Ovis aries: one gene and its partner. The protein of the gene in region 1 interacts with the protein of each later gene in a pairwise test. Links are inferred from orthologs where the notes say so. Each region holds a gene or a part of one and is shown on either strand. Other genes may lie near its edges.

What was found.
Region 2: the proteins of ERCC6L2 (region 1) and CYREN interact in binary tests that used the Homo sapiens proteins (3 or more experiments, as listed by UniProt). The two-hybrid records come from large-scale screens. The link is inferred for Ovis aries from reciprocal best matches to the Homo sapiens genes ERCC6L2 and CYREN.

Annotation. Positions count from the first base shown.
Region 1 is NC_056055.1:30,332,886-30,343,172, forward strand, and holds part of ERCC6L2 (DNA excision repair protein ERCC-6-like 2), read right to left. Parts: 5' UTR 10,276-10,287; coding exon 10,194-10,275; intron 4,858-10,193; coding exon 4,433-4,857; intron 1-4,432. UniProt on the Homo sapiens protein: Promotes double-strand break (DSB) end-joining and facilitates programmed recombination by controlling how DNA ends are joined in a spatially oriented manner during repair.
Region 2 is NC_056057.1:100,466,567-100,477,295, forward strand, and holds the start of CYREN (cell cycle regulator of non-homologous end joining), read right to left. Parts: upstream 5,613-10,729; 5' UTR 5,495-5,612; intron 4,147-5,494; 5' UTR 4,018-4,146; coding exon 3,884-4,017; intron 2,707-3,883; coding exon 2,631-2,706; intron 1,496-2,630; coding exon 1,244-1,495; 3' UTR 1,016-1,243; intron 597-1,015; exon of another isoform or gene 574-596; 3' UTR 1-573. UniProt on the Homo sapiens protein: Cell-cycle-specific regulator of classical non-homologous end joining (NHEJ) of DNA double-strand break (DSB) repair, which can act both as an activator or inhibitor of NHEJ, depending on the cell cycle phase.

The DNA of each region.
Region 1 (10,287 bases):
TTTAGGATTGCATCCAAGTACTGTATTTCGGACTCTTTTGTTAACCATGATGGCTACTCCATTTCTTCTAATGGATTCCTGCCCGCAGTAGTAGATATAACGGTCATCTGAGTTCAATTCACCCATTCCAGTCCATTTTAGTTTGCTGATTCCTAGAATGTCGACGTTTACTCTTGCCTTCTCGTTTGACCACTTCCAATTTGCCTTGATTCATGGACCTGACATTCCAGGTTCCTATGCAATATTGCTCTTTACAGCATTGGACCTTGCTTCTATCACCAGTCACATCCCCACCTGGGTATTGTTTTTGCTTTGGCTCCATCCCTTCATTCTTTCTGGAGTTATTTCTCCACTCTTCTCTAGTAGCATATTGGGCACCTACTGACCTGGGGAGTTCCTCTTTCAGTATCCTATCATTTTGCCTTTTCATACTGTTCATGGGGTTCTCAAGGCAAACTCTAATTTTGGATTAGCTTAATTCACTAAATACATTAGTGATTTTAAAGAAAAATCTCTACATCCCTTTAATTTATTTATTGGCCATGCCACACTACTTATGGGATCTTAGTTCCCTGAGCAGAGATTGAACCCAAGCCCTTGGCAGGGAAAGCATGGAAATCTAACCACAGGGAATTCCCATACTGAATTCACTAAATACATTTAAAATTTTAAAGAAAAATCTTTGCATCCCTTTTAAATAATCCACACTCCTTCCTAACAGATTAGTTACCTATCCCCAAAAAGTGACTTGAAATGAAAATAAATTTGAATTTATTTGAGAATACACACTAACAAGAGGAGTTAACGTAAAATCACTGACAAACTTTTTACCTCATTATTTTAAGGTAATGTAACAGTAGTGTATCAACATCCAAAAAGCAGACAGACATAGGGAGAATGGAAAGAACAGCACAGGTGGAGTTTATGTACCAGGAGTGTTCAGTTCAGTTCAGTCACTCAGTCGTGTCCGACTCTTTGCGACCTCATGAATCACAGCACGCCAGGGCTCCCTGTCCATCACCAGCTCCTGGAGTTCACCCAAACTCATGTGCATCAAGTCAGTGATGACATCCAGCCATCTCATCCTCGGTCCCTTCTCCTCCTGCCCCCAATCCCTTTCAGCATCAGAGTCTTTCTCAATGAGTCAACTCTTCGCATGAGGTGGCCAAAGTACTGGAGTTTCAGCCTTAGCATCATTCCTTCCAAAGAACACCCAAGACTGATCTCCTTTAGAACGGACTGGCTGGATCTCCTTGCAGTCCAAGGGACTCTCAAGAGTCTTCCCCAACACCACAGTTCAAAAGCATCAATTCTTCAGCGCTCAGCTTTCTTCACAGTCCACCTCTCACATCCATACATGACTACTGGAAAAACCATAGCCTTGACTAGACGGACCTTTGTTGGCCAAGTAATGTCTCTGCTTTTGAATATGCTATCTAGGTTGGTCTGTAAACAGCACTAATTACTTCGACCCTCATCTTTGTTGACAAGTGCAAGAGAAGAAAGGGGAACTGGGAAACCAGTCATTTGGGACTAAGAACAGGAAGCTGGGAAACTTTGTCATTTGGTCACAACTCCAAGAGGGCAAAGGTAACACATCATTTTGTGTAGATGTAGCACTTTCACTTTTCACTTTCATGCACTGGAGAAGGAAATGGCAACCCACAGCAGTGTTCTTGCCTGGAGAATCCCAGGGATGGGGGAGCCTGGTGGGCTGCCATCTATGGGGTTGCAAAGTCGGACACGACTGAAGCGACTTAGCAACAGCAGCAGCAGCAGCCCTCTCTATCACTCATACTAGCACAGAAGAGGTCTATCAAAACCTTAATTCACAGAAGGTGAACAACATATTTACAATGCCAATTTACAAAACTAATCTGAAAAAAAAGACCATCTGCTTTAATGTGGAATACAGTAGTTCTAAAGTTATGGTTAAGGATGAAAAGAAGAAAAAACTATTTAATCAGCCACCTACAGAATAGAAAAAGGGGAAAAACTGCATTTCAGAAATGATGCATCACTCTGGAAAAGCTTTGTTTTTACAGACATTCCTCTGAAACTCTGTCAGGCAAACGTTTTTATAGTCTATTTTTTCTCACACACACTCATGATATACAGCATAAATCAGACATGGGGCAATAAGGCAACAAACATTCTCTCAGACCAACAGAAAGCATGGCAAAAATTATCTATTTCTTATATAATTTTTTAAAACCTACATTCCTTATTTTTCATCTTCCTGGGAGATAAAAAGGTAAGAGAGTATTTTGGAATCATACTTCACAAAGTACGATAATTTTTGCTTGGTTTAAACAACAACAGAAACAACAGTGTGTTATTTTGAAAGGGAACCTAGCCCATTTAGCCTTACGAAGTTCTATTCCTAAAATCTAGACTATTAATACATGCCAAAATGAGAAAAGCAATTTACCTTCAAAATGCTAGGACATTTTTGTTTCTGCTTTAAAAGCTTTGTGGCTCTGGAGGTTAATTAACCTTTCACATTGGGTACTATGGCATTTTCTCCATGAATGAAAATAAAGAAAATATGATTATTTTCTTCATTACTATGTTCTTGAGGGAACAACATGACTTATGATCTAAATAAGTTTTAAATTGTTGTATAGCTTTTGAATCAACTAAAGATCATATTATGCAAAAAAATGGTATTGATAATAACCAAAGAAAGCTGTAATTATCAGCAATCCCACCATTTGTCTCAGGGTTGAGGTTTCCTATACCTATATTTTGAAAATGTATAGTAATGACATTTTTTATAATATCAATGAATATAAAATCAAAGATTCAAAGACAATTTTTACAGTTTGAAAAATGTTCTTTCCTCTGCTGCTCAAAGGCATAATACCATCTTCACATAGCAGATGTAGCACCTCATGTTTCTGATATTGAAGATGACCAGGCATTGACTAGTCAAAATCATGTTGGAAAGAACATTCTAGCATGGGAAAAACAGTAAAAGTATATGTAAAGACAGTCACAGAGGAATTATTATTTATTTTCCTCTAGTAGTCATCGGCATATCAGTCACAGCTGGTAGTTTCCCAAAGGCTCTTTTCTTTTTTCTTTGAACCTATTCTCCTGAGAAAGTAAATTCATTTATTCCACAAGCAATTACTTAACACCTTCAATGTGCAAGTCTCAAACTATGTGCATTGCCTGAGATTAAAAGAAAATAGAGTATGGCTAAAAGTAATACACCATGATTACTGAGGGACTTAATTTTACCCTAACTTTTTACACCAGAACTTTAAACATAGCCATTATTTGGTATTCTCAACTGTTAATTTGAAAGTAAAAGTTAATTTAATTTTTCACTTACCTCTGAACTCCACTAACAATGGAACTGTCATGAAGAAAAAATAGCTTAAATTCAGTTGTAAAGAAGGAAACACAAAAAGACTTAATCACACACTAGACAAACACTCCTGAAAATTCAGAGTGACTGTTTAGTATAAAGTCTAGATTCAGAACTCTAGTCCTTCTGAATTACTAACCTTTGTGGTATACAGCTTCTGACAAGGCTCCCCCAAATTCCCACCTCTTGGTATCCATGACTATATTTCATGCCCACTATGGCCCAGTTGGCAAGCAACCAAGAGAGGGCTTTGCTAATAGCTCATGCAGAAACAGTGGCCTCAGTCTAACAACACACAAGGAACTGAGCCCTGCAACAGCCACACAAGATAGGAAGTGAATCCCCCCTAGTACAACTTTGAAATAACTATGGCCTTAAGAGAAACTCAGCCAAAAGACCCAGCTAAATGGTACCCAGATTCCTGATCCACAGAACCGTAACATGATAAATGTGTATTGTTTCAAGCTGCTATATCTTTAATAATTCGTTATACAGCAATAGATACCTAACATAAGCCTATCTGAAGAAAAGTATATTCATGTGCTAATTCTGGTACATATTTTAGAGAAACAAGAGGCCTCTCTAAAGTCCACCAACTGAATTCCTAGTGGCCCAGAGATCCTAAACTAAGAAACCTCTGCTATGATAAACTCCAAACAATATGTTCAAAAGGCCTGCAGAAAATTGAACCATGCTGTGTAGCTTAACAATTGTCAGAATACTTTCCTTCCATAAGGTATCATTAAGAAAGTTAAATTAATCTAAATATAAATACTAACTATCCTAGTATTAACATTATCAAAGGTAAAAACAAGTCAAATTATACTAAAACATTACTTTAAATAACGTATTTCATAGTACTAAATAAGTACTGAGGTTAAAAAATTGACTAAACACCATCCTTAAGTACTGTGTGAGACAAACACACACACAAAATAATTATAATAAGTTCTGGGATACAAACAGAAATTTGCAGATGGTATCCATTCATGTATGTAATACACATGACATATATGCATGACTTTATTAAATTTTAATTATAAAGTAAATAAATACCTGTACAGTTTTTCCAAGTCCCATATCATCACCAAGAATACACCCTCTTCCTTGGATGAAGTGTCCATAGAGAAACTGGGCTCCCTCCCTTTGGTAGTCTCTTAAATACCTATTGATAGTATAAGGAATGGAGTCTCCATTTTCAGATAGTTGAAAAGGAACAGCTGACGATGGAAATTTTCTGTCTGGGAAATAAGGTTTTTCCAAATCTTCATCATCAAATATAAAATTCCTGGAGCAATCTTTAACAGATTTTACTTCTTGAAGTCTTTTAAGAGGTACTCTCCTTTCTTGAAAATCTGAATATAAGATGACTGCAAATGACTTCCCATTTTCATCCACTGTGATAGATTTTATGCTTGCTTCACAAAGTTTTTCATTATCTGGAGAAGGGGCAAGACATCGTTCTCCTGGATGCCATATATCTATAATAATAAAGGAGAAAATAAACTTTCCAAATCTAACTTTTAAAGTAACACCTCATTTATCCACTTCTATGAGAAAAAAATATTCCTCACATAAATACCCTTCCCAAAATTTGAAACAAGACAAATCATAGGTATCTTCCTAAAGTATATTATCATAATAAAGGGGATATAATTTATTTCTAGTTTTTCTCACCCTATGTGTCATAATCTCCCCATACATGCTTAATCTATTTATGCTGATTAGGTTGATATGGGTCATGGGCATTTGGTTTTATTATTGTGGGCAAATGACTCATGGGCATTTGGTTTTATTATTGTGGTTGGTTATTATTGCTAAATTCAAAAGGTGATTCTGATGCACAGCCAGGATTAAGAACCACTAAGAATCACCTGATGACTCATGAACATTATGTATAGCATTCATACATATGGCAGAATAACTGTGAATAGGACTCGGTAATAGGTAAGCTAAAGTCCTCTGAACAGCTATATTTTTGTGATTCTTCTGTCTGCTTTTTTAGTTATTCCATGTCCTTTTTCTGAACAAAGCTATTTCGTCTCACTGTCAATACTGCTGTTTCTAAAACGTTCCTTGAAGCTGTATACAGCTAATCAAGGGAATCCCCAGTTCAACAGCAGAGTGACATGCACCAGCTTTATCACAGCTTTTTCCATTCGAGGTTTTTAAAAGCTGAGGTTCTTAAAAACGAGATGAATTCTAAGATCTCCTTCTGCTATCATTTCACTATCCTTTGAAAAGTCTGACTTCTCTCTATGTATGAATTCATTCTGTGCTTAACTGTACAGCTATTTTATTTTGTATTCAGAAAATACAGTACTATGGAGTGGGGAGGGAAGCCTCTACAGAGTATAATATTGGTACAATTAAAAGGTACCAAATAGAGGAAATTAAATAAAAATAATTTTCCTAATGGGATTTCATGTAACAAGAATTCCAGAGGAATTGTATGGCTACAATTGTAAGAATACTAGGAATTATTTTTTCCACACATTTCTCACAGAGATCATATGCTCATTGGTAGTTTCCCAGGGTCTTTCTAATGATTCTGAATTAGGCTTTTATAACATTCATGATTATAACTAGTATGTCTATATTCTCCAGTAAGAATAGCTCATTATGCTATTCCCCATCAGTTGTTCCTCAAAAGTAAAACCATTATTCTAACTTTGATAAAGTTGTTTTTATATAACAATCAGAAGCACAGCAAAAAAAAAAAAAATCTGTTCTCCCACTCTAATTTTGTTTTCAAACTGTTTGAGAATTATTACACTCTTCTAAAAATGTTCTAATGTGAAAATAACACTCCGATTCACTGTACAGAGATAAGTCAATGGACCCTATTTTCAAAACAGTACTATCTGAACCTTAAAACCTATGTAAAGCCTTAAGGTAAGTCTTAACACATTACTTGTTTCATATGATTTGTCTGCCTATCCAGCATATGCCTTGTAATTTTTTAGAGCTTTAATTCATTAACTTATTATCAATGTATATGATTTAAAACCAGCTATTCACCAGATACTGTACCACACTATGAGTATAAAAATGAAGAAGAAAAATGTCAAAAATGATAGTCATTAAACCTTGCTTGAAACTAGTCTTTCCCAATTTCATTAAAAGGAATCACTGTCTAGCCAACATTTCAAGGTAGAAAACCTTTCAGTTCAGTTCAGTCGCTCAGTCATGTCCGACTCTTTGCGACCCCATGAATCACAGCACACCAGGCCTCCCTGTCCATCACCAACTCCCGGAGTTCACTCAGATTCATGTCCATCGAGTCAGTGATGCCATCCCGCCATCTCATCCTCTGTCGTCCCCTTCTCCTCCTGCCCCCAATCCCTCCCAGCATCAAAGTCTTTTCCAATGAGTCAACTCTTCACATGAAAACCTTTAGTCAGTCCTTATTCCTCTTCTGATATTACTCCCTACATTCAATCCATCAGAATGTCCTGGTGGTTCTACTTCAAAAAAAAAAAAAAAAAGCCATCACTTTCCTCCATGCCACCAACTCTTCAAAATAACTATTGGCAAACTTTTTCTGTAGAGTCAGATTTTAGCTGTTTATTATTTTAGATTTTGCAGGTTTTATTGTCGCTTGCCTTTGTAACACAAAAGTAGCTACAGACACATAATCAAATGGATATGGCTGTGCTCCAATAAAACTTTATCTACAAAAAAAAAGTGTCAGGCTGAATTTGGTTCTGACTGTATTGTGTCAACGTCTGGCTTTCTCCTAAATTACTGCTCTAGACTCCATTCTTTACCCATTCTCTCCACTGACATTATCTCCCCCTACAATCCATTTTCCACATAGCTGCAATATCAACTACTTAAAAATATTTATTAGTAAATCTTTAATTTAAAATCTTTTAATAATTACCCACTACAGAAAGAATAAACTCCAAGCTCCTTACTATGGTCTACGTGACCCGTATCATTTCCCCCTACTTACCTCTCCAACTTAAAATCTATCAATATTCCCCTTGACTCAGCATACTAGGCAGGTCTTCTCTCACTTATTGTTATGTCATCGCCTCATAGATTTTGTTTCTGATCATCTTATTTAAAGTACCCCACTATTCTGTACCTGAGTATTTTACTGCCTGTATAGCACATATCACAATGTTTAATTATCATGTTTACCTTTTAAAAATCTTTCACTAGAGAATAGTATCTTTTCCGAAAAAATGTCTGTATTGTTCAAAATTTTATCCCCGGGGCCAGCACACAGGAGGCACTCAATAAACGTGCTGAATATATTAACAGAAACACATTCCGAACCTAATAGAACCTTGTTATCTAGTGAGAGAGACAAATACTAAAAAGTTCACACATGTGAAATTGTTGCTTTAAGAGTGCTGTAAGAAAGAAGGACTAAAGAACAGTTTAAAAAGGAAGGAAATCTAGGCAAAGAATGTCAGTCGGGGGGTACATATAGCAGGTGCAAAAACCTCATGGGCTTCACACAACAATCTATAGAAATCTATTAAAATTTGGTTTCTGAGTTTGGGTAACTTGTAGGACTAAGGAGATTCAGTTAAGTTTGATCTAGGGCAGTATCTCTCAGCATTCAAAGTCCAGAACAAATAGTTTAAATTAGGACGATTTCTTTTTGGACTGAATGGGGGGTAAGGCTCCTTACAATCTGGTCCCTGTGTCCGCTTTAACTTCATTTCCTCCCTTTCTCCCGATTTCATCCCAAACTTGCCTTCTAGCTGTTCTTCAACCATGACAAGCATACTCCCATCTTCGGTCCCTGAGATTTCTGTTCCTTCCACCAACCCTCTCCCTAAATCCCAATGTGACTGATTCTCTCCCTTCATTCAGGGTTCTGCTCAAATGGCATCTCCTCAGAGGTATCTCGGAGAAGGCGATGCCGCCCCACTCCAGTACTCTTGCCTGGAAAATCCCATGGATGGAAGAGCCTCATAGGCTGTAGTCCATGGAGTCACAAAGAGTCAGACACCACTGAGCGACTTCACTTTCACTTTTCACTTTCACTCACTGGAGAAGGAAATGGCAACCCATTCCAGTGTTCTTGCCTGGAGAATCCCAGGGACAGGGGAGCTTGGTGGGCTGCCGTCTATGGGGTCACACAGAGTCAGACATGACTGAAGCGACTTAGCAGCAGCAGCAGCAGAAGTATCTTCTCTGATCACTCAATCTAACATAGCACTCCCTGCCACTCTCTCTTCCTTTACCCTGCTTGATTCCATTTTCAGAAAAAATTTGAAATATCTGTTATTGGTTATCTACTTCAGTTCCCCTGAGTAGAGACAATTTGTGTACACTGCCATATTCTGGACACTGAGGACAATGTTTGAAACTCAAATACTTATCAGATTAACAAATATTTATGTAGCGCTAACATTTTGAGGTTTATGTGTGCCACACATGCAAATTGCACATAGTAGGTCATTTAAGCCTTACAACAACCCTACTTCACTACGTTCACTACTTCATGTAAATACTATTATTAGTTCCCTTTTATAAATGGTGAAACAGATAAAGGTTAACCACAGCCACACAGCTAGAAAGTGTCAGAGCCTGGATGTGAATCAAGCTATCTGAACTTGTAGCTACCATGCTGTACCAGTATACTCATGAATGAACAATTCCTTGGAACTGAGCAGCCCTCAGTTCAGTTCAGTTGCTCAGTTGTGCCTGACTCTCTGTGACCCCATGGACTGTGTAGCACGCCAGACTTCTCTGTCCATCACCAACTCCTGGAGCTTGTTCAAGCTTATGTCCATCAAGTCAGTGATGCCATCCAACCATCTCATCCTCTGTCATCCCCTTTTCCTCCTGCCCTCCACCTTTCCCAGCATCAGGGTCTTTTCCAATGATTCAGTTCTTCACATCAGGAGGCTGAAGTCTGAGTAGCCCTGCCCCCTTTTAAATGAGATATGAACATCCCAGTTACTATAATCTCCACTCAGCAGCTTCATCTACTTATTTTACCTGCCAGGTTTCTAAAGATATTTGTATTTGTGGTCCCTGAGTGATAATGTCATCAATTTCTAGTCTTCAGAGCTGAGGCTTGTTACTTAAAAGTCTCTGAAGTTTGGTTCTATATTCCTCATCTATTTAATCAGATCAGTATCTTCCTCAAAAGAAAACATGTAAACAATCAGAATATTTCTAGGCACAGAACAAGCATTCATTCAATATCTGTAAGTTTTTGTTATATCACTATTAATAATGAAAACGATTAATTTGGGGGCAAGAAGACATTCCAGATGACTTGTGGCAAATAACCATGTTCTCCCTAAACCACTCTTAGTGACCCATTAAAGGTGACCCTGACTCAATAAATCACATATAAAGCTCTTTGTGTAATAAACTGAACTAATCTCAATCTATATTCACCACTTAATAATGAACCTACCATTCACTAAGGACTGAGGCATACAACAGAATAAAAATACCAAACATTTAGTGTTTACTATGAGCCAGACACTGGGTCACGTTAAGTGCTTTGCATGACACCGTCTCAATTAATAGTCAAAAGAACTCAACTTGATTGAACTCAGCAATGATTTCAATTTTACAGATGAGCAAACTACACAAAGTTGCTCAGCAAATGACTGTCAGAGCCTGCACTAGATCCAAGGGCAGTCTGACTTCAGAGTTTCTCAACACTGAATCACAAAGAACTAGTCCCAGCTCTAGAGGGGGTACACTATCTCCATCTGTCACTCACAGAGGCCACAGGGTAAAACCCCGACCCCAAGGGAACTGGCATGAACAGGTCCAATCCTACACAGTCAAGACAGGTGTCTGGGCAGAGAGGCGAGCTCGGAGCTTATACCTTTGCCGTTGGTTTCCGCGCGGGGCTTCGGGGTAGACTGATCCATCTGGCCAGGGGGAAGGGCTTGGCAGCCAGGTTGCATTTAACACCCCAC
Region 2 (10,729 bases), on another chromosome or scaffold:
CTGAGCAAGCCATTCTGACTTGATCCTCAGAACAATGGGGAGATAAGGCTTCCTGTCATTGGGGCCAGATTTCCAGGACAAGCTGCCAAATGCCAGACGGGAACCCGGTGACGGTTTATGAAGGAACGCCTCAGTGTCCCTGGGAACCCAGCCTAGCAAGCGTCCCATCTCCATCCGAGACAATGCTCCCAAAGGCCAAGGAGTGATCTGAGGGATTCACAGGACAGGCACAGAGAAGAGCCTGGCGGTTTTGAATGTTCCCCTGAAAAGGCGCCTGGACCTGCAGACAGACAGAACAGGGGTCTAACCACTGTGCACGAGCAGCCCGCTCCCAGCACGCGACCCGGGTGTTCAGGAGCCCAGGACGCCAGGTCCCTGGTCAGGAGAGGACGATGAACGGACTGAGCTGGCCCACGTCCATGTGAACGCCGCATGCCCTCCCGTCTCACCCTGCGCCGGAAAGGATACGAGCGCCACTCACGCACGGGGGCACTGTGTGTATTCTTCAGCATCTGTTACACTGACAATCTGTACAGCACGTGATCGCCTCATCCCAGGCCTGTGCAAAGCCACCTGAATAGAGGCAGAAACACGGACTCCGGTGTGATGTCTTGTCCTCTGTGTCTCTTTTGGGCTCCTATCCCACTCTTACTTTCTAACTGCCCAGGGGCTGAGGCCTAGAAAGGTGGCAGAAGGTGGCGGCCCAGGGGAGGAGGGCTGTCTGGTTGGTCGGGAGGCCTCCCAATCTGTACATGGAACGGCAGGCAGGCTCTCAGTGGGGAGCCCAGCCCTGGGGGAAGGTGTCTAGTTCAGGGTTGGACCAACAAGGGCTCACTGACCAACTGACACGTGACGGAAGTGATTTTAAAAACAGGCTTCTTCCTTAAGGTGGCCAAACCGTAGGAACTGCAGGGTACTTAGCAGCCATACTGGTTTTTCCTTGAAAATTATTAAGCTGACTCTTCAGTTCCAGTAAGTTTGACCCCCATGATCTCATTTCCCTGGAACCAGGTACCTGAATAAGACAGTGTTGAGCTCCCAGGCCCCTGAGCACGGACAGCAGAGAGCAGGAATTCTGGGGGGAGCTCACTGACTCTTCACCTCCCCTGGTGAATCCACCCAGCCCAGGGAGGCTTGACGCTGGGAGCAGAAGCTGTCACAGTCTGAGGGCAGCGCTCGGGCTGAGAGGGGAAGCCCAGCCTCCTTCAGCCGCTCTCGGCAGAAGGTCCTGGAAGTGCGTCCCTCAGCTGAAAAAGATCTCCCTGACGTATTTTAGCTCGTCCTGGTCTTCCTCGAGGCTTCTGCTGCAGGCCGTGCCAGAACCCGAGGGCCCCAGGGCAGGGCCGTCTGCCCCACAGTCGTCTTCCTCACTGTCCTCGCTTCGGCTCCAGCGGGGACTTGGGGACGGCGGCGCTGGGCTGGCCGGGGAGCGCTCTGGCTTATCAGCGCCTGCCAGAGGTGGCGGCTCCAACGGCTTTTCCTGTTTTCGGTCCTCCTGAGCAGAAGAAACGGCAGGCAAACAGATGGGTTTTACTTCCCTAACATGCAAGGACACAGAACGTACCCAGTAGCACCTGTAAAGCCAGCGCCGGGGGGCCGGGCCCAGCTCCCAGATCACAGATGGCCCCCTCCCTTCACCCGATTCTGCCCCTCCCCGCCCTCCTTCTCGGGCGGTGCAGAAATCAGGACCAGCAGGGCGAGCGACGGGCAGGGGCCTCAGGAACAGCGGCGCAGGGACGACAAGTGGACCCCACGGACACGGAAGGGCAGGCCGCGAACCCTGAGTGCGGGCCTCACTCACTGGGACTAGCGACAGTATCGACCAGCAGGTTATTGCAAGCATTAAATGAGAGAGGAATATATAAAAGGCCCTGAGCAACTCTCAGGGACTACACCACTCGAAGGTGAGACAACCGTTAGCCGCTCTTGGAAGCCAGGGCTTCAGCGGCGAGGTGCCAAGGATGGTGATCAGAAGTTACCTCGCCCGAAGGAGACCCTCAGAGAACACGAGCAGTTCACGACTCTTGTCCCCTCCACCCGCCACCAGCAGAGAGCCGCCCAGACTGGGAGGGCTGCCCTCTCTCACACGGCCACGGCCTCCCAGGTCTCCAGCCCCAAGGGCCCGGCAGGGGCACCCCTCCCCTGGAGCGGGCTGCAGATGAGCAGGCTCCCGGCTGCCAACAGACAGGGCGCCTCTTTTATTAGCATGAACCCCCGCCAAGAGTCTCCAGTCATCAGAAAAGACACAGCTGGGCTTCCCTGGCGGGTCAGTGGTGAGAAGTCCATCTGCCAATGCAGGAGATATGGGTTCAAGCCCTGGTCCGGGAAGACCCCACAAGCCTCGGGGCAACTCAGCCATGTGCCACGACTACAGAAGCCTGTACGACCCAGGGCCCACACGCTACTATCACTGGACCCAGGAACCACAACTCCTGAGCGCGTGCTCTGCCAACTGCAGAGGCCCATGTGCCCTGGAGCCCGTGCTCCACAAGAGAAACCACGGCAGTGAGAAACTCTCTCACCGCCACCAGAGGGCAGGCCCCACTCCCCGAGCAGCAGCAAGGACCCAGCACGGCCAACATATATACGTAAATAAAATTTACAAAAATAAAAGACACAGTTGACTGTACCTCAATGAGGATCCCCAGAGCAACGTCGACAATTTCGGCTTCATTCATGCAGTACACAGTCCTCACGGCAGGAAATCTGAGAGAAGAGCATGAAGTTAGAGACAGGCACGAATCACCAGCAGGAAAGAATGAGACCCAGAGTCACATCTCGGGGCCTGTCTGCCAGGGCTGAGAGCAGTAGCTTCCCCAGGGCACTGCCGTGGCCTCTGAATCCTTGGAACTAGTGACTGGCACAGGGGTTCTTGGGGCAACCATGGGGTTTCCCACCATCCGTCAACTCCGCTAAGAAATAGGGTGAGATGGCCGGCTCCTGAGACACACACGCGCCCGCGCGCGCATACACGCTCGCGATGCAAAAAAGGTCAAACAGGCCAAGACATGTCTGAATGCCACTCCTCACCCCCATGTGTGAATACAATAAAGGAGGGCTTTCCCTGGTGGCTCAGCAGTAAAGAAACCCCTCACAATGCAGTCCTGGGTTCAATCCCTGGGTCGGGAAGATCCCCTGCAGGAAGGCATGGTAACCCACTCCAGTACTCTTGCCTGGAGAATCCTCATGGACAGAGGAGCCTGGCTACAGTCCGCTGGTTCGCAATGAGCTGGACACGACTGAGCAACTAAGCACAGCACAGCAAAGATCAGAAAGCAAGGCTGGTCAATGAAGAAAACTTAGAAAGGGAAGTCAGAGAGGGACAGTGAGCACCTGAGACTATGGCCAGGAGAGGACAGGGGTACCCCCTCCCTGGCAGCCTGGAGACCCCCACCAATATCACCATTCAACCAACCTCCCCCCCACCGTGCCCCCCAGTCTCTGATTTCTGGCCGACCCGGCAACCTGCAGCTTGTCTGCCCGTCCCTAAAGATATATCTGCAGGAAGATGGGATCACTTGGTCCACCTACCCCCTCATTGGATGGTCACAATTTCTGCGGCAAATGAAGATACTGACAATTTGGACAATTGCTATCTGAGAGCTTAGCTGGTGTGTGTTTAACTCAAGAGCTGGAGCCACTATCTGGGAGCTGACCCATGAGGGCCAGAGGGTGGAGATTCACCGACAGAGGCAGAAGCCAGTGCCAGCCTGGCAGGGCACAGCCACCAGCAGCCTGCACACCCAAGAGCGGATGAGACGTTTGTGGACTGAAACACCCTCCCTCACTGTTCCACCAACACTGGACAACTGGGCCCCAGCAACTGTGAGGCCTTCAATCCCTCCCCTGTCCTAATCCCCCAGGAGGACAGAAGCTGCCCCACCTGGCTGCAGCTGCTGGCACCGTGGCTGGTCTCCTCTTGGGGGTCTTCACCTGCACCGCCCTCTTTTCAGCCACCTGGGCTGTCATCCATGTGGGCAGCACCCTCTTTTTATTCTCAGACTTTAAGGCTTCCATCTCTTTAGTCTCTCATGAAGAGGAACCAGGGTCCAAGCTTAGCGACTTCAGGACAGCGAATCCCACTCTCTCATCTCACAGCAGGAACTGTAGGTCCGTTTGTCATCAACAGGAGTCCATCTTTAATTCCTACAAAGAACAAAGTCCAGTGAATTCTGATAAATAAGAACATTCTCAGGCCTCAGCCACAGTGACTGGTTAGGGCAGGCCAGAGGTGAGCAGGGCCAAGGAGACTCAGATGGATCATTCACAGGGCATGAAGAGGGACGTGGGGAGTGGGCAGGCTACGGGCGTCATGGAGAAGAAGCCCTCCACTCAGGGCCCAGGGCCCCCACCAGCAGTGGGGCCCCATGCTCCCAGGAGCCTCTGCACTGAGCCCCTCAACACAGGAGGAAGGTGCCCCTTCTCTCCACCAGAGACGCTCACTGTCCCCAGGGTGCCCAGACAATCCTACCCTTAAAACCTCTCTCAATGCTCTCTTCCTCCCCTCCTCCCATCACAGATTTCTCCTTCCCTCTATCTAGGAGTGGTTATAAGAAACCCCAAGGCCATTTTGATTCAGTGAGGTTTCACTGGCCAACACCCACTCCCTTAAATCCAAAGATACTTCTGACTGGTCGGGTGTGTCAGATATCATTGTGCCTGAATGTGCAGAATCCAGACGCCAGGGCTCTGGGGGTCGGGGGCCGGTTCTCATCTCATCTGGCCTCTCCCCACCCACCCCCACTGGATTCCCGCCCTGCCCCTGCTGAAACTCAGCCCCGACCCTGTGACTCAAAGGGTGCAGATCTCTGCCCTCCACTGAGCAGTAACCCTGAAAACAGCTCAGCGCGCACGTTCTGTGAAAATCCAAGAGGTGCTAATAGTCATTCCCACATCTAATGTTGTTCAGTCGCTCAGCGTGGTCCACCTCTTCGTGACCCCATGGACTGCAGCAGCCAGGCCTCCCTGTCCATCACCAACGCCCGGAGTTGGCTCAGACTCATGTCCATTGAGTCGGTGATGCCATCCAACCATCTCATCCTCCGTGGCCCCTTCTCCTCCCGCCCTCAATCTTTGCCACATCTAAGGAGCACCGCTAACCACCCCGCACAAGCACAGCTCGGTGCTCGGTGCGTATACTGATTTGACCATGAGATGGATATTCTGAAGCCCATTTTACAGACGAAGAACTGACATTTACCAATTCGCACAGTCACCAAAAAAAAGTTTGAAATGGCCGGTCAGGACTCGCACCTGGGCCCTCCAGGCCCTGGCCCTGGGCCCCGCCGGCTGGGGGCGGGAGGGTGAGGGCCTGGGGCGGCCCCGCGGGCGCAGCGACCTGCCCGGAGCCCCCAGTTCTCCGCCTCCCCGCTCTCGGGGACCCCGCGCCGCTACGGGCGCGATGAGAGCGGGGCCGGCCCGCCAGAGGAGGGCGAAGCGGGACGCGCGACCCACCCGCCCGCGTTCCCGGTACTCCTCCGGCCGGGCTTCCTACCTCGGGGCTCGCGCGCCTCCCTGGCTTCCGGGGAGGACCCGGGAGGCGGATCCGAAAGGTGGTCGGGAGCGGGGAGCCCCGCGGCCCGGCCCCCGCTCCCCTACGTTCCCGCACTTCCGGATCCCGGCCGCCCGCCGGCGTGGCGGACCCGGCGCGCCCCCTGCCGGCGGCCGCGTGGTCTGCGCCCTCGGCGTTGGAGCAGGACTCGCCGGGTAAAGGTGTAGTGAGGCACTCCGACCTCCGCTGACCCGGGTCCTGACCAAGTCTCTCCTTGACCAAATTCAGAGAGGGATCTGAACTCTTCTCAACAACGCCCTGCCTTTTGGACTTCCGCGTGCATCTCCACATTGTCCGTTTTTACCGAGAATACAGCTAATACTGAATTAGCTGGAGTCCGCCCACCCTCCACACCTGATTCTCATCCATCGTCATCCCCCCCAGGTCACGTTTGATTACCCGGCCGCTTATGTAGAGTGCGTCATGAGAAACGCTGGGCTGGAAGAAGCACAAGATGGTATCAAGATTGCCGGGAGAAATATCAATAACCTCAGATATGCAGATGACACCACCCTTATGGCAAAAAGTGAAGAAGAACTAAAAGCCTCTTGATGAAAGAGAAAGAGGAGACTGAAAAAGTTGGCTTAAAGCTCAACATTCAGAAAACGAAGATCATGGCATCTGGGAAGTAGATGGGGAAACAGTGGAAACAGTGTCAGACTTTATTTTGGGGGGCTCCAAAATCACTGCAGATGGTGATTGCAGCCATGAAATTAAAAGACGCTTACTCCTTGGAAGAAAAGTTATGACCAACCTAGATAGCATATTAAAAAGCAGAGAAATTACTTTGCCAACAAAGGTCCGTCTAGTCAAGGCCATGGTTTTTCCAGTGGTCATGTATGGATGTGAGAGTTGGACTGTAAAGAAAGCTGAGAGCCAAAGAATTGATGCTTTTGAACTGTGGTGTTGGGGAAGACTCTTGCAAGTCCCTTGGACTGCAAGGAGATCCAACCAGTCCGTCCTAAAGGAGACCAGTCCTGGGTGTTCATTGGAAGGAATGATGCTGAGGCTGAAACTCCAATACTTTGGCCACCTCATGCGAAGAGTTGACTCATTGGAAAAGACTCTGATGCTGGGAGGGATTGGGGGCAGGAGGAGAAGGGGACGACAGAGGATGAGATGGCTGGATGGCATCACTGACCCGATGCACATGAGTTTGGGTGAACTCCGGGAGTTGGTGATGGACAGGGAAGCCTGGCGTGCTGCGATTCATGGGGTCAAAAAGAGTTGGACATGACTGAGCAACTGAACTAACACAGCAATAATCTTATTAGGTCGATGTAGCCAGAAGCCCACTTCACTCTGGTGTTTCCTCTTAGTAATTATCCATCCACTGACCCCCCACCCAGGCACTTCCCTTGTACTGGGAGTTGAGTTCAACCTCTTCCCCACAGAAAACCCTACCTAGTAGACTCTCTAATAGTTTCCTTACTGTTCCTTAACAAGGGTCGTGAATAATTTTAACAGTATTTTTTTTTAACAGTTCCCAAATGTGGCTCCATTTGAGGCTTGCTGGTTCAGTTCAGTCGCTCAGTCGTGTCCGACTCTTTGTGACCCTATGGATTGCAGCACACCAGGCCTCCCTATCCATCACCAACTCCTGGAGTTTACTCAAACTCATGGCCATTGAGTTGATGATGCCATCCAACCATCTCATCCTCTGTCATACCCATCTCCTCCCGCCTTCAATCTTTCCCAGCACCAGGGTCTTTTCAGATGAGTCAGTTCTTCTGATCAGGTGGCCAAAGCACTGGAGTTTCAGCTTCAGCATCAGTCCTTTCAATGAATATTCAGGACTGATTTCCTTTACGATGGACTGGTTGGATCTCCTTGCTGTCCAAGGGACTCTCAAGAATCTTCTCCAGCACCACTGTTCAAAAGCATCAATTCAGCGCTCAGCTTTCTTTATAGTCTAATTCTCACATCCATACGTGACTACTAGAAAAACCATAGCTTGGACTTGGACTTTGTTGGCAAAGACATGTCTCTGCTTTTTAATATGCTGTCTAGGTTTGCCATAGCTTTTCTTCCAAGGAGCGAATGAAGATTTCATGGCTGCAGTCACCATCTGCAGTGATTTTGGAGCCCAAAAAATAAAGTCTGTCATTGTTTCCATTGTTTCCCCATCTATTTGACATGAAGTGATAGGACCAGATGCCATGATCTTACTTTTCTGAATGTTGAGTCTTAACCCAACTTTTTCACTCTCTTTCACTTTCATCAAAAGGCTTTTTAGTTCTTTGCTTTCTGCCATAAGGGTAGTATCATCTGCATATCTGAGGTTATTGATATTTCTCCTGGCAATCTTGATTCCTGCTTGTGCTTCATCCAGCCCAGCATTTCGCATGATACATTCTGCAATTAAGTTAAATAAGCAGGGTGACAATATACAGCCTTGATGTACTCCTTTCCTGATTTGGAACCAGTCTGTTGTTCTAACTATTGCTTCTACCTGCATATAGATTTCTCAGGAGGCAGTTAAGGTGGTCTGGTGTTCCCATCTCTTTAAGAATTTTCCAGTTTGTTGTGATCTACACAAAGGCTTTGGCATAATCAATAAAGCAGATGTTTTTCTGAAACTGTCTTGCTTTTTTGATGGTCCAACGGACGTTGGCAATTTGATCTCTGGTTCCTCTGCCTTTTCTAAATCCAGTTTGAACATCTGGAAGTTCTTGGTTCATGTAGTATTGAAGCCTGGCTTGGAGAATTTTGAGCATTACTTTGCTAGCGTATGAGATAAGTGCAATTGTGTGGTTCAGTTCAGTCACTCAGTTGTGTCCGGCTCTTTGTGACCCCCATGAATCGCAGCACGCCAGGCCTCCCTGTTCATCACCAACTCCTGGAGTTCACCCAGACTCGCGTCCATTTAGTCCGTGATGCCATCTGGCCATCTCATCCTCTGTCATCCCCTTCTCCTCCTGCCCCCAATCCCTCCCCAGCATCAGAGTCTTTTCCAATGAGTCAACTCTTCACATGAGGTGACCAAAGTACTGGAGTTTCAGCTTTAGCATCATTCCTTCCAAAGAAATTACAGGGTTGATCTCTTTCAGAATGGACTGGTTGGATCTCCTTGCAGTCCAAGGGACTCGCAAGAGTCTTCTCCAACACCACAGTTCAAAAGCATCAATTCTTTGGCGCTCAGCCTTCTTCACAGTCCAACTCTCACATCCATACATGACTACCAGAAAAACCATAGCCTTGACTAGACGGACCTTAGTCGGCAAAGTAATGTCTCTGCTTTTGAATATACTATCTAGGTTGGTCATAACTTTTCTTCCAAGGAGTAAGCGTCTTTTAATTTCATGGCTGCAATCACCATCTGCAGTGATTTTGGAGCCCCAAAAAAATAAAGTCTGTTTGAATATTCTTTGGCATTGCCTTTCTTTGGGATTGGAATGAAAATTGACCTTTCCAGTCCTGTGGCTTGCTGGTTGGACTGTTAAAGGGACAATTCCCAGGCCCCTCCTTCCAACCAGAAATTAAGGAGAAGGGAGAGGGGGAGCTTCATTTTGGAAAGCTCTGATCGGGAAGGGCGGAGGGGGAAGAGAAGTCCCAGAAAAACCAAGTTCACAGCTCCCTGCTGGAGGCATGCACCCCCAGGTAGGGCAAGTAGGGGCAAGGTGAGTCCCTTGGGTGCAGGAAGAGAAATTAAAAACATTGTTTACATTTTTTATCTAGAAAGTGGGAGTTACTAATAATTAATATTCAAATTGGTGACTAAAGTGTTCCCTCTGAGAACAGGGCTGCTCCATAAAGTTGCCCATGTCTCCTCACTTTGCTTTCAACTTGATGCTGAGCGCTGCGGTTCACACGTGGAGTTAGCATCTAGTTTTACATAAAATCATACAGCTTGAAATAGCTTGAAAAAGGCAGGCCAAAAAAGATCCCAAGTGGCAGACATGACTAAACATTTGTGTTTTTGAGGCAAAAGGATGATCAGAACCATCTACCCCCCAAATGTGAAATTATCAAGACAGCCACTTGAAGTGTGACTTACAACAAATCATGTAATAATAGAATAATTACTTCCATATACTAGAGGCACAGGATAGGGGAGTGTGATCCAGAGCTTGGAAAATCAGAGCCAGATCTCACTTCTAACTGTGTGGTGACTTTGGTTTCCCCAGAGCATTTTCACCTCATAACTAAGCCTCAATCCTATGGAGGTAGGCTGGTCCAGGAAAGTTTAAGTCAGTCAAGGATTAAGAAGATAAATCAAGGAGTTAAAATCACAAAATCAACCTGCTGGGCACTGGAGTTGTTTAGTTGCGGGTTGAACCTGGGCTCTGCCTCCAGCCTCTTCATGAGGCAGGACCTGCTTCTCCTCTGATTCCCAAAGGTTCCAACATCAGTCACCTCTAGTGACCTCACTGCCCTCCGTTCCCACAAGTTGTGAGCCAAGACAACCCCAAGTCTAATCAGCGGAGACGCATCATTTTGTGAGCAAAGGAATGGGGAACACTTACTACTAGGAGAAACTCCTCCTCTCTCTCCTTAAAAACCTCTTCCCTTAGCCAGCTGAAAAATGTAGGACGCCCATCTGCATAAAAACCCTTCTGCGCGGAGGCCCGAGCAGGGACCAGAAGCCCAAGCGGAGGGATCTGAATGGGTGGGAGTCAGCTCCTGAAGCCGTCTGAATACTGAGCTCAGGGGGCCCGAGGTCTTGGAGCAGGAGCAGGCAAGCACAGACAGATCCCGAGGATAGTAAGGGAAACGCACCTCACTGTTCTCACGCAGCCCTGCCCAGAGCGGGGCCACAGCTGCACCGGGCGTGCGGGGTCAGGGCACTGGGGCTGGCCTGGCTTGATGGTTTTCATCTGATTGGCCTTGCCCGCGCCAGGGGAGGGACCTCGCTGGGTTCCTGGGTAGATGCCAAGCTGGTATCGTGAAGGAGCGGTAAATTTAAGTTTCGACATGCTTTATTGGAGGATGAGAAGTCACCTTGGAGGGGTGAGGGGAGGGACAGGGAGGAACCCGAGGAAGAAGCACGCTGACAGGCACTCAGGATGGTGTGGGGGTCGGAGAGAGACAGGCCAGGAGGGGCAGGGTGGCCCACAGCACATACTGTACTTGCTAATTTCAAAAGGTCAGAGGCTATTGTTGCCTTGGTTTTGTGTTTTTAGGCAGCCTCAAAGTGATGTGGAACCCCCCGCCCCATCCCTCCTGGTGGACCCTCGG